Drosophila melanogaster: one gene and its partners. The protein of the gene in region 1 interacts with the protein of each later gene in a pairwise test. Each region holds a gene or a part of one and is shown on either strand. Other genes may lie near its edges. The genes, in order: Ccn, Dus3 and CG5023.

Region 1 (3,756 bases):
ATATTTTGAGTATTAAGTTGCTTATTTAATCGAGTATTTCAATGTTTTCTTACTTGATTCAAATTCTGGATGGTTATTTTTCATCGAAACGCTTCGTAAAGGTTTCTTATTTTTTACGGCCATCGAAGCGAACTTTGTCTTGGCTTTATTGTTGCTACTGTTGTTTTGGGGAATATTCCAATTTTGTTGGTCATAAATTTTAGCGAGACTGGCAAATGAAAAGCACAGCGTAAAAGAAAATATTTAAATTTCCTCGGTTTCCCAATTTTTTTTTTTGTACATTTTTGGCAGCCCTTTTTTCCAGTTCGGTTGAAGGGAGCGGGAGTTCTGTGAGAAAAAATCTGCTTAAATGTACTTCCGTCATAAAATAACGGTAATGCACAGCAATGTGCGTCTGTGGGTGTGGGCATGTATGTTGTGTGTGTGTGTGTGTTGGTGTGTTTGTGTGTGCATGGCTCACGTAGCAGGACGAGCAAGAAAAACCTTTTTATAAATGTTGGTTCGCAGCTTCCGCAAAATAATAAAACAAAAAGGCAGCTGCCAGGACATCCCCCGTCCAAAGGCAACTGGAAAGAATGCTTTTAAATTTGACACACACACCGCACACACACACACACAAGCACGCACTTGGCGAAAAAAAAAATTAATAAATTTTGTGCAACAAAGTTGCCTCTAAGGCACCGATTCGCAACCGACCATGAACCCACTTCCCCGCGTTGCTCACTTCGGTTTCAATTTTTTTGTTCTGTTTTTATCCTTTTTTGTGTTCTCTGTTTGTTTTGATGGCCCAAAACTCGGTGCGGCAACATTTGTTTGAAGTTTATTTTGCATATGTTTATTTTTGTTTACGCAATGTTATTCCCCTTTGTATTATGTCCTTTTTTTCTGTTTGCTGCAGTGTCAATTGTCGCATTGGCATGCGAAACTTTTTTTCGATGGGTAATTTAAAAAAATATACCGCATTTTTATTTTTATCAAGAGAAATACATCATTTACCGCAATATAATAACAAAAGAAACTATTTATCTCATACTCTACTCATACCACCACAAACTTGGCTAAAAAAAAAATTAAATGCCTCACATTAATGCAAATATTTAACACTTAACACTCCCATTAACTTTTAATTGGAAGCTTATCGCTTTAATATGGTAGCTTTTAAAACAATAAAACAATGACGTTCGTTTAAAATTACTTCCACACTTGTGCTTCAAATTTTTTTAGGGTTATATATTACCTATTAATCGATGCTTGCTCAATGCACGAACTAATTAAAATTGTCCAACGTAGAAACAAATAATCAGCACAAAATTCGTTCAACTAAAAACAATAGATATTTGCTAGTGCATTGAACCTCCATTTTTGCCACATTATGTAGATTTATTTGAAGCCAATGGCACAAACGTCAAAATAAACGCATTAACACTGCGGTCAGTGTTGATTAAACTTGTATTTTTAGCAATATTATAATAAAATATTCAACAATAAGTATACCATTTGACATACCTTAAATTAGCCGGACTTTCTGCCCACACTTTTGATTTATCGAGGGGGTTCAGAGACCCCTGGCAGTGGCAATTGACCACTTCACTGGCTGCTCGTGTATTTGTTTTTCTACTTCTAGGTACTTTTTTTTATTATTTTCCTTGTAGATACGCCCGCAACACACGTCAATTAACCTACTTTCGTGCTGGCAGGAGGGCTGGGCAAAAAACCCCAAACATAATATAACCACTAGAACAATACTCGCAATACAACGAATGGGCCAAGTTAATTTGCTTAGACTTTTGTTTTGGTTTCTATCTTTTTTTATTCGCCTTTTGTCGTTTCGATTGCTCAAAGTATTTCCGGCAACACACGTACACACACCCACGAGGGACACTTTAGCCGGCTTTTTTGCCTTCTTGCGCCAAAATCCAATAAAACAGTCTTAGAAGACCAGGTGATATCGCTCATACGACGCGTGTGCCGTGCAGCACGAACGAGTGACAAAAACGAACTGAAACTGAGGACGGAGGACTGAATTCAAATCGGAGTCCAAGTTGGCTGACCAACTGCGCATGCGTCACTTTTAGTCAATGAAAAGCTTCGTGCCACAAGACATTTGCCGCCAACAGGACTCCGAAAATGGCACTCGTTTTCGGAGTAGTCTGTTGCTGATGTTGCTTTTGGTGTTGCTGTTATTGCTGTTGCTTTAGGTGTTGCTGCTGTTCCTGTGGTTGTTGTCGTTGTCAGCGGCAACATAATCATCGGCGCGTGTTGCTCACTTTGTTGGCAGACGACTCGCAAACCGAAAACACAGCCAACAGAACGCACAACAGCAATCCTGGCGCACAATTCGCGCAACGTCATGTCAACGAGACAGTCGAGACAAATGCCACAGATCCCCTGCCAAAAGGACACCCCTCTTCGAATCCTTGAACCATTTTCAGGCCCACCCATTGTCAATTGTCTTGTGGGCTTAATGCTTCTTTGCCTCTGTGTTTTCCCTTTTATTTCAGCGCTGTCTGTTTAATTTCTTTTATCAACAAGCCGAGGTCTGCAGGCTTCCATCCTTCGTGTCCTTCGTGATATCCTCTTGTTGCGTCGCCCACACTCAATTGCTTATCAACTATCGGTGCATGCAGACGGCCTTTTGTAATCGCCAGCTTATTTGATTTATTGCCCTCGCTTTTGATTACAAATACATATGTGCTTAAGTTAATTGAGACTATACCACTTTTAAATTTTTGCTTCTTTTCTGCTTACTTTTTCATTGGCCAACATTATGTTCAAGGAACTATTGCATATTATAGATAATAGGGCGAATGGTTCACTGAAACATGCTCTTAAACCTCGCTGACCTCTCGCAATGGTCTTAAGCTTCGTATCTGGTCAGGTAAAGCCCTTGTAATCGCCTGTTAACTTGACATGACGATGCTTAACTGATTTATCTGTCTCATGGCTAAGACCCGGGCATTGATAGACATGATGGATGGACGAATCGATGAATGGACGTGGTCGAGGAGGGACAGGAAGTGAATTCTTGGTCCGATGAAAGATTGGCGAAGCTTTTTGCTACTTTCCAAATTAAACCGCTTAGTCGAGCGTTTAAATTTAATGCATTTGAGCTGCTTAGCCTCGTCTGCAGTTTATGTTTTTAGTCTATTTGCACACCATCCGACTGCACTTTATCGGCATCTTTACTTAGCCAAATTGCATCTTGGCCTGGTCCAGTGTACAGACTTCAATACTCTCGCATAAATTGCGGTTCTTTGTGTACAGCATTTGTGATTTAACAAGCAGGGTAAATAAATTATGCAAAAATACACACCGAATCGCAAAGAATTCGCCACTTGTTGAAAGTTCCGCCCCGGTATTGGTTGAATACAGTGTATCTCTACATTACACAATGGCATTACGGCTGATTATACTCGTGTAAGACTCGTTATTTATTATGAAAATCTGCTAGCTCAGAATTTAATTTAAAAGTTTGTGGGTTTCGTCACGGCTCAGGCAAATACAATTTGCAATTTCACAAATTTTAGAAGGGAACAAATCTTAAATACGCCACAAAATATGCCATCTTCTGACCATGGAGGACCAACAGGAGCGGCAGCTTAGATGGCGAGTGGCGTTGGGAGCCGCTTAAGCCTCCGGCCGGTCCATTTTAATCCCTTTTAAATTGATATTGTAATTGGTTTTTGTATGTAGTTATGAATTTCAATATGTCGGCCGGGCTTACCCTCTAGTTCCTCCATGTTTTCTGTTTGTCTT
Region 2 (3,756 bases), on another chromosome or scaffold:
GTCTGCAAAGCCTCGGGTATGTATCGGTACAAGAAGGACTGCCATTCGAGGAGGAATCGGCGAGTGGTCTCCACGCCCTTGGTGTCTGAGCCCCAGTGCTCCAGTCCGTAGTTGCAGAACTTTTGCAACATCTCGTAGCGTTGCCCGGACGATGGGGACCAGGCCTGTTTCTCCTTTATCTCTTGGAATATCCAGGGCTTTATTAACGCGCCGCGTCCAATCATTACGGAGCAAACGTGAGGCGCCAGCGTCCTTCGCTCCATGTAATCCTCGTAGCTGAGTATGTCGCCATTGCCGATCACCGGCATGCACTTTGCCTTGGCGGCACACTCCTCGATGTAAGCCCAGTTGGCGTGTTTAGTGTAGCGCTGCTCCCTGGATCGCCCGTGCAGGGTCACCGCCGAGGCACCCCACTCTTCAACAAGCGGAAGAAGTTCGTGCGCTACGCTCTTGTCTGCATAGATGCCGGTGCGCATCTTCACGGTGAAGGGCAGGCGGTCCGACAGGGCTGCACAACTCCGCACTGTCAGCTCCAAGATATTGGTTCGTCGCATCAGCGCACTGCCACCGCCTTGCTGGTAGATCAGATCTATCGGGCAGCCAATATTAAGATCAATGAAGTCCACCTGGGCCGTCTCATGAATAACCTGCGCCGCCTGGTTGAGCATGTTGGGATTATTTCCGCATAGCTGGACTCCAAAGACATCTTCGCTCTGGTGTCGCTTGGTCAGGGCCCACTCCTGGCCCATACCCTTCAGGAGAGGCTGAGCGCAGGCCATCTCGCCACAGGTGATGTCTGCACCGAATTCCTTGCAGATCCGGCGGAAAGGCAAATTGCCCAACGTGGTCAGTGGCGACAACACGAGTTTCTCGCGGAAATCCACGGCGGGCTTATGGTCAGCATCTCTGCCGATAGCGGAATCATCAATTGCACAACCAGTGGCAGTTGGTTTACTCTTAGTATCCGTCTGTTTTTCTGCATCTAATATCTCGGTGGTTTCACTAGGTTGTTTTTCTCCAGTCTCTTCAGACGGATTCTTTTCCTTCTCCTGTTGTTCCTTTAGTTTTCGGGCATCCCTCAGCTTTTCAGCCATTTTAATAAGCTCCTTGCTCCGACTGAAGTCATATTCATGTTTTCGTAGACGCACTTGGAGTTCTGAAAAGGGGTTCAATTAATGAGTTTATCAAGGTACTTTAGTATCAGTTAGCTGATAGGTGCAGAAGAATTGCCCACCTGAACTGACGCCATTGCATGTGGTTGGAGGAGCATTTTCATCGTAGTCCTCCCTTTTGAGGTTCCTGCCCTGTTCATCAGTGTGGGCCTTTGCAAAGCGACAACTCACACCGCGGGCACAGTAGCCCTTGGTGGTGTACACATAACATTCAGGGCCCAAATCTTCTCCCTTGGCGGCCAAGTAGGCGTCCAGGTCGTGGACATAGCGACAGTTGGCCAGGGAACAAGGTTCTCCACCGGTTCCATCGATCAGCGAGTGGCACAGATGCGAGTACCGCTCGTCCTTGAAAACTGGGCGGTTCTAAAAATACGATATTTTGTATAGTATCTATATTATATATTATTGACGAACCTTGTTCTGTCCGCGTTTGCGTTCCTTTTTATCCCATTTCTTTTTTTCACCGGCTTCCACTTCTCCACCGTCCTCGCGTTTTCTTTTGTTTGTGTCGCTGTTTTCGGTGTTAGCTGCAGCACTGCCGCCATCGGCTTCAGTTACCAGGTATCTAAAAGGTATAAAGAGTGAATTGAATTAACCAAATATTCGCCATTAAGCTTACTTACTCTGGTTTGATGTAGCAAATACCGGAATCCATTTCACAATAAACAATCGCACGTGTTGGTATGCGTCTTCTTCTACCTTGTTTTTGTCAATCAGCTGCTTGTGATGATTTATCGATAGAAGAAAAGATATTGGTCGCGTTCAGCATAACTGTGAATTGAATGGATTTCACTGGTTATTAACTAATAAATACTAAAATTAATCCACGACTTACGTGGCAATGATGAGGTCTCCTCCACCCTTAAATTGGTAATTTAGAAGTTTTTGCCCGAGCTAAATTAGATGACACCGATTTATTTCCCTCCGTGGTCACAGTGAATCAGTCACTTTTTGCAGGTCTGCTCATCGCTATTGTATAATGCCGCCTGCGCGATGGTGCAAATCTTTAAATTCCTGTTAAAATCCAGCAAATCTGTGAGAACATTACTATTATACCTAAATCAAAAGTAATATCAAAAGGTTTTAATGCCCAGACCGGTCGTGCCCACTTCCGGCCCACTTTTCTGGACACACTGCGCCTAGCGGTTCGTGGAGGACATGGTGGAAATGGACTGCCCAAATACGGAGGAGTTGGTGGCCAAGGCGGTTGCGTCTACTTGGTGGCAAAGGAAGGACTCACCCTTCGCAAGGTCGTCCAGGGATTGAAGGATAAGCGAGTGGCAGCATCCAGTGGCGAGGACAGTAGCAAAGCCAGCATCTTTGGACGCCGTGGAGCTGACCAGAGGATCGAGGTGCCTGTGGGCGTCCAGGTATATGACGACCAACAAAAACTCATCGCCGACCTCGACGAGCACGAGGCGACATGCATTGTGGCGGGCGGAGGTACTGGCGGATGCACGGCCACAAATTTTCTGGGACGTCCCGGGGAGAATCGCACTGTAAATCTGGACCTAAAGCTAATAGCAGATGTGGGTCTCGTGGGATTCCCCAACGCTGGCAAAAGCACCCTTCTTAAGGCCGTGTCCAATGCCAAACCAAAAATTGCAGCTTATCCCTGTGAGTTATTGCTAGATCAAGTTGGTATTTAATCATTAACTAACAACTCCTACCTCAGTTACCACCATCCGACCCCAGATTGGAACCATCGAGTACAGGGACCTGCGCTCCATCACAGTTGCCGATCTTCCCGGTCTGATCGAGGGCGCCCACGCGAACTTCGGCATGGGTCACAAGTTCCTGAAGCACATCGAACGCACCCGCCTGCTGGTCTTCATGGTGGATATATTCGGCTTCCAGCTGAGTCCCAAACATCCGCATCGCGACTGCTTGGCCAATGTGTATGCGCTCAACAAAGAGTTGGAGCTCTACGATCCATCGCTGCTGGAGAAGCCCAGTGTCCTGCTGCTGAACAAAATGGACAAGGAGGGTGCCCACGAGATCTTTACCAAAGTTAAGCCGCTCGTCAGCGATTTGGCCAGCGGACTTGAACAGTGCCCCGAGGAACTGCGTCCGAAACAGGTGCTCAATTTCGACAGCATTGTCCCCATATCGGCCATGAACTCGTCGAAGATCACGCAAGTGAAATCCCAGCTAAGGAGGACCCTGGTGCGGCTGGCTGAGAAGCAGTTCCTGGCGGACGAGGATCAGGTCAAGGAGAAGCTAAGACAGCGCGTTGGGGTGGTGGGTCCAAAAATTACCTAGTTGTTATTGCAAATAGTTTTGTGAGCGGCTTAAGAAATTAAATTAAATTTGTAGCAGCGGAAATGTACTGCAAACTGACTTCTTATTCTTAAATTAGTTTTTCTACAAAATACGAAAGGCAGTAAGACAAGAAGAATACTTCTTATAAAGCATCCTGTGTGTTTAATTCTTTGTCGGAAATCAATTTGAAAACTTTACCAAGAACTGAAATTAAAAATTGTTTCTAACTTTGTTACTGCAGTAAGTGAGTAAGATTCGATAGAACAAAGTGTAAGTCCTTGGGTAGAATCCTTTGAATTGAATTCGATTTCGAAAGCTTTCC
Region 3 (3,756 bases), on another chromosome or scaffold:
AGCATGAAGTCATCATTACAGAATTTTTCCTTAAAAATGCAATAAATCAAAACCCGCAAATATATATGCATTAATTAAAATATGTCATAGTCCGGAGTGACCAAAAAAGGTCATGATTATAACTATACTACACAGAAAAGGGGACTTAAAAAATATATTATAAGCATATGGCGTTCGTTCAAAAAAAAAAAAATACTGAACATTCATAATAAATGCACACTGCTGCTAAAAAATGTATCACATCGTAATTTGTATTCATAAATTGAAAGTTTTTGCAACACAAACTGTCACCAGGTCGGCGGGAATTAATTATAAAAAGTAAAATCAGTCAAAGAGCAAAGAAACAAAAAAAAAATCCAATGGCCCCCAAAGACACCGGTCGCCAAATGTTTTTTTATGCATCTGTGCCATCACTCCGCATAATTCAGCAAATAATTAAGTTCAATTAAGAACAAAGTTATGGCCCAGTGGCTTTGACTGTCTGTCGCAAAAACTTGTCAGCATTATTGAGAGACAAATGTCAACAGCGGAAAATTCGCAAATTAATTATGAATCGAAAGTGCAAAAGGAATGCCGAATACCGAATGATGCATGAAATGCGTAATTTGTTTGTATTGAATTGTAAAGTCCTGCGTCCTGAGTGATTTGCGACCAAATGGAGGCCACTCTTTTCCATCGATTCGATGGGAATTAATGGCTGGTTAACTACCGGGCATCCCAATGGCCCAATGGCCCAAGGGCATTTGTCATCCCCCGGCCAGACTGTCAACTAAGTGATTTTTTATTTTAATATATAGGGGAAATAAATAGCACAAATACGCGATATATGAGAATGAATTATGATCTGGCAGCTGCTGCGAGTGGGCGTAGCTGAAATCACTTGGCCAGAAAACTCTACATGAGCCTCTGGCATCAGGATCTGGTTATACAATGTAGGATAATAAGTAGGATAATATGTATATAATCCACACAATATATGTCTGGGCCAAATGTTAATTGACTATTTAAATATTTAACCAATTTAAGAAATTTTTAATTAAATCGCTCGCGCTGTTTGCAATTAAATATTTTGTCTTTTAATTGCTTATTTAATTATAAATACATACAAACACTGATTGCTTTATGCATTTGTGTGAGCTGATTACTGCTTATAAACGTACGTAAATGTATATAAAGGCATAAATCAACGGGCAATATATTGTTTTAATAAGCATTTTCATACAAATGAATATGCTGATATTTGGCACTTTTTCAAAAATGTATTTTGTATTTACTTCGCACTTTTTTCGCTTCACTTTAATTTGTTGATTTCCTTATTTGTTTCGTTTTATTTGATACCTCTCTGTGAACGAGTGTGCATATTAATTGAATGGGTATATTCACAACTACGTGACTTTTCTACTATCAACGGTTGAATAATTTTATTTCATAAACAATTATATCAGCTCAATTTTTTTTTTTTTTGTGAGGCAGCCTTTTTCAGGCTTTTTTCACTTTGAAAGAGAAATCGGAAACGAAAAATCCAAAATGAGGAAATTGGCAATTCAATTAAGCCTGATACTCGGACATTCTTAGAGAAAAATCCAAAATGTATCAAATACTCAATAATACAAATTATAATAATAATTTGCTCGATTTAATTTAATACACCCAGGACACTTAATTATCCTTTACGAAGCTTGTGGAACTTACAGCCATTGTGAATTATTAGATTTGAAAGTGAAATGCAAATGCAAATTAGCGTGTGGCGCGTTTGAGACACAAATTTCAACTGACGCAGGTTTGTTGAAACAGTTTTCCATTTGGCCTAAGATAATTTACGAAAATGCTGAAAACGATTTTAGGTTAGGCTAATGCCGCTGCCGCTGCCGCTTCTGTCGACGTCGACGTCAGCGGGCAGATATAGATTTGCCCGATGCCAAAATCGCCCGAAATAAAACCATGGTGACGCAGGGAAGGAGCGGGAAAAGCAAATTTAGATGCAAACCGCGGATGCCCGGCGGAAACTCTTTGTGACGTCACCGCGTGAAAAGTGGAGGGAAATAAAAAAAAAGATTGAGAATTATCTCAGACAGAAGTGTGCCAGATATCTGGTATTGAAGTCGTTTCCCTTTCGCTTTCATGGTTGGCAGAACAAATTTCAAGCAATTTGCCAGCAATTATGCTTAGTCAAAAGCGCATACTTGTATCCCAAAGATACATATTTGTGTGGGCTCCACCTAATCCCACTGGCAATAAGTGCGGATCACTCTCAAAAATATTCCCAAACTTTCAATAAAGCCATTTCATTTTTTTTATTTCAGCCGAAAATCTAGTGAAACTAAAATCATTTTGCAATTACATTAAAACTTTTTCCCATATGACAAAGTTTTAGCACCAGATAATTTGGCTAAAAGCAAACACAACAAAGTTTAAAGGCTTTCATTTGTTTATTTCGCTGCACTCTGCGATAGAGTAATTTAATTATCCAGTCAGACATTTGGCCAAGTTCAAGTTTAAGTTTTCAGGCAAGGTGCTCCATAAAATCTACTCAAAATAAACATAAACAAATTTTAAAGGGCGTGAATGTGCATATCTTTTCACACCTGGCACACATAAATCTGTGATTTTCTTTTTTAAATTCTTCCATAGCATAAGTGATGAATGCTCAGCTTAGCAAATTATTCGCTTCAAAGCATAAATCCACTTTGGTTTAATTAATTGCATTTTACAATTTTACAATTACCGAGTGAATCGCAGAATCTTTGATAAACCTCAGCCTTGTGGTATATTCACGCTTCATCTAAAAACGCTCAATGAATTTTTCTCACCCAAGCGAATGAATAATTTTCTTATTTATTTATTTCACACACAACGAAAACAAAATGCTCGAATATGAAAATTTATGGACAAATGAACTTAACCATGAACTATGTCTGTGGAAAGTCCTCGATGAAAAGTGTGAGGGCGGCAGCACAAACAAAACACCTAGGGTAAAAGCAAAAACAGCTGCCAAGGCTGCAATCAAAATTAATTGAGCAACTCGGAGCTCAGTGTCAGAACAGAACGTGCGTGTTGGTGTGAGTGCGATTCTGATTGTGGACATCTATTTATTTGGGGCTGTATCTGTGGGTCTATGAGTGGATGAGTCTATGTCAAAGTGAAGGCATTGGCGTGGGCGTCAGTCCGCCGAAAACATCGACCTACAAAAAGTGGCCCCAAGTCTCAGCATTTGCTGCCAAGATCTGGCAATCGAAATCGTTTTGTGTAAAAAGCATCGGAATTATGTGAACACGGAGAGGGGGTGGGCGCACTCCATCGCAAATGTGATATACGAACTGCAAATGCTCTCTCCAATTTGGAAAATAACGAATTACACTCATTTTCCAAACTGGAAACCAGAAATGCCTCTAGCTAGAATATTCCTGCTTTTCATTACAATAGGCAAATATTCGAAAAAATTAATTTACCCAAAACAATAGCTCATAAATAATTATTTGCATCGATTGAAACCAAATAGGTTTTAATACTGAATGTTTGATCCATCACAGAAATATTTTAAACGGCTTCCAGTAAAAAAATATATTATCAAGTGAGCTCTTATAATGAAATAAATACCTTTAATATGCAAATGTTATATTTATTACCAAAATTAATTAATGTTTATTATTAAAAGTTTTCAATTCAACTATAATTTAAGATAACCTTCAATAAATCACTAAATATTATTTTTTGCTTATTCAACCACCAATGTTTGCGCTTTTGAACTGTATATTC

Evidence for each region.
Region 2: the proteins of Ccn (region 1) and Dus3 interact in a two-hybrid assay, tested with the Drosophila melanogaster proteins (one large-scale study listed by BioGRID).
Region 3: the proteins of Ccn (region 1) and CG5023 interact in a two-hybrid assay, tested with the Drosophila melanogaster proteins (one large-scale study listed by BioGRID).

The regions. Positions count from the first base shown.
Region 1 is NT_037436.4:17,688,226-17,691,981, reverse strand, and holds the start of Ccn (Ccn), read right to left. Parts: upstream 1,968-3,756; 5' UTR 1,507-1,967; intron 1-1,506.
Region 2 is NT_033779.5:19,756,983-19,760,738, reverse strand, and holds the start of Dus3 (dihydrouridine synthase 3), read right to left. Parts: upstream 1,861-3,756; 5' UTR 1,828-1,860; coding exon 1,796-1,827; intron 1,738-1,795; coding exon 1,587-1,737; intron 1,536-1,586; coding exon 1,235-1,535; intron 1,157-1,234; coding exon 1-1,156. Other genes in the region: CG10628 (uncharacterized protein), read left to right, coding at 2,166-2,207, 2,267-2,789, 2,848-3,434.
Region 3 is NT_033777.3:20,167,457-20,171,212, reverse strand, and holds the start of CG5023 (uncharacterized protein), read right to left. Parts: upstream 1,779-3,756; 5' UTR 1,699-1,778; coding exon 1,693-1,698; intron 1-1,692.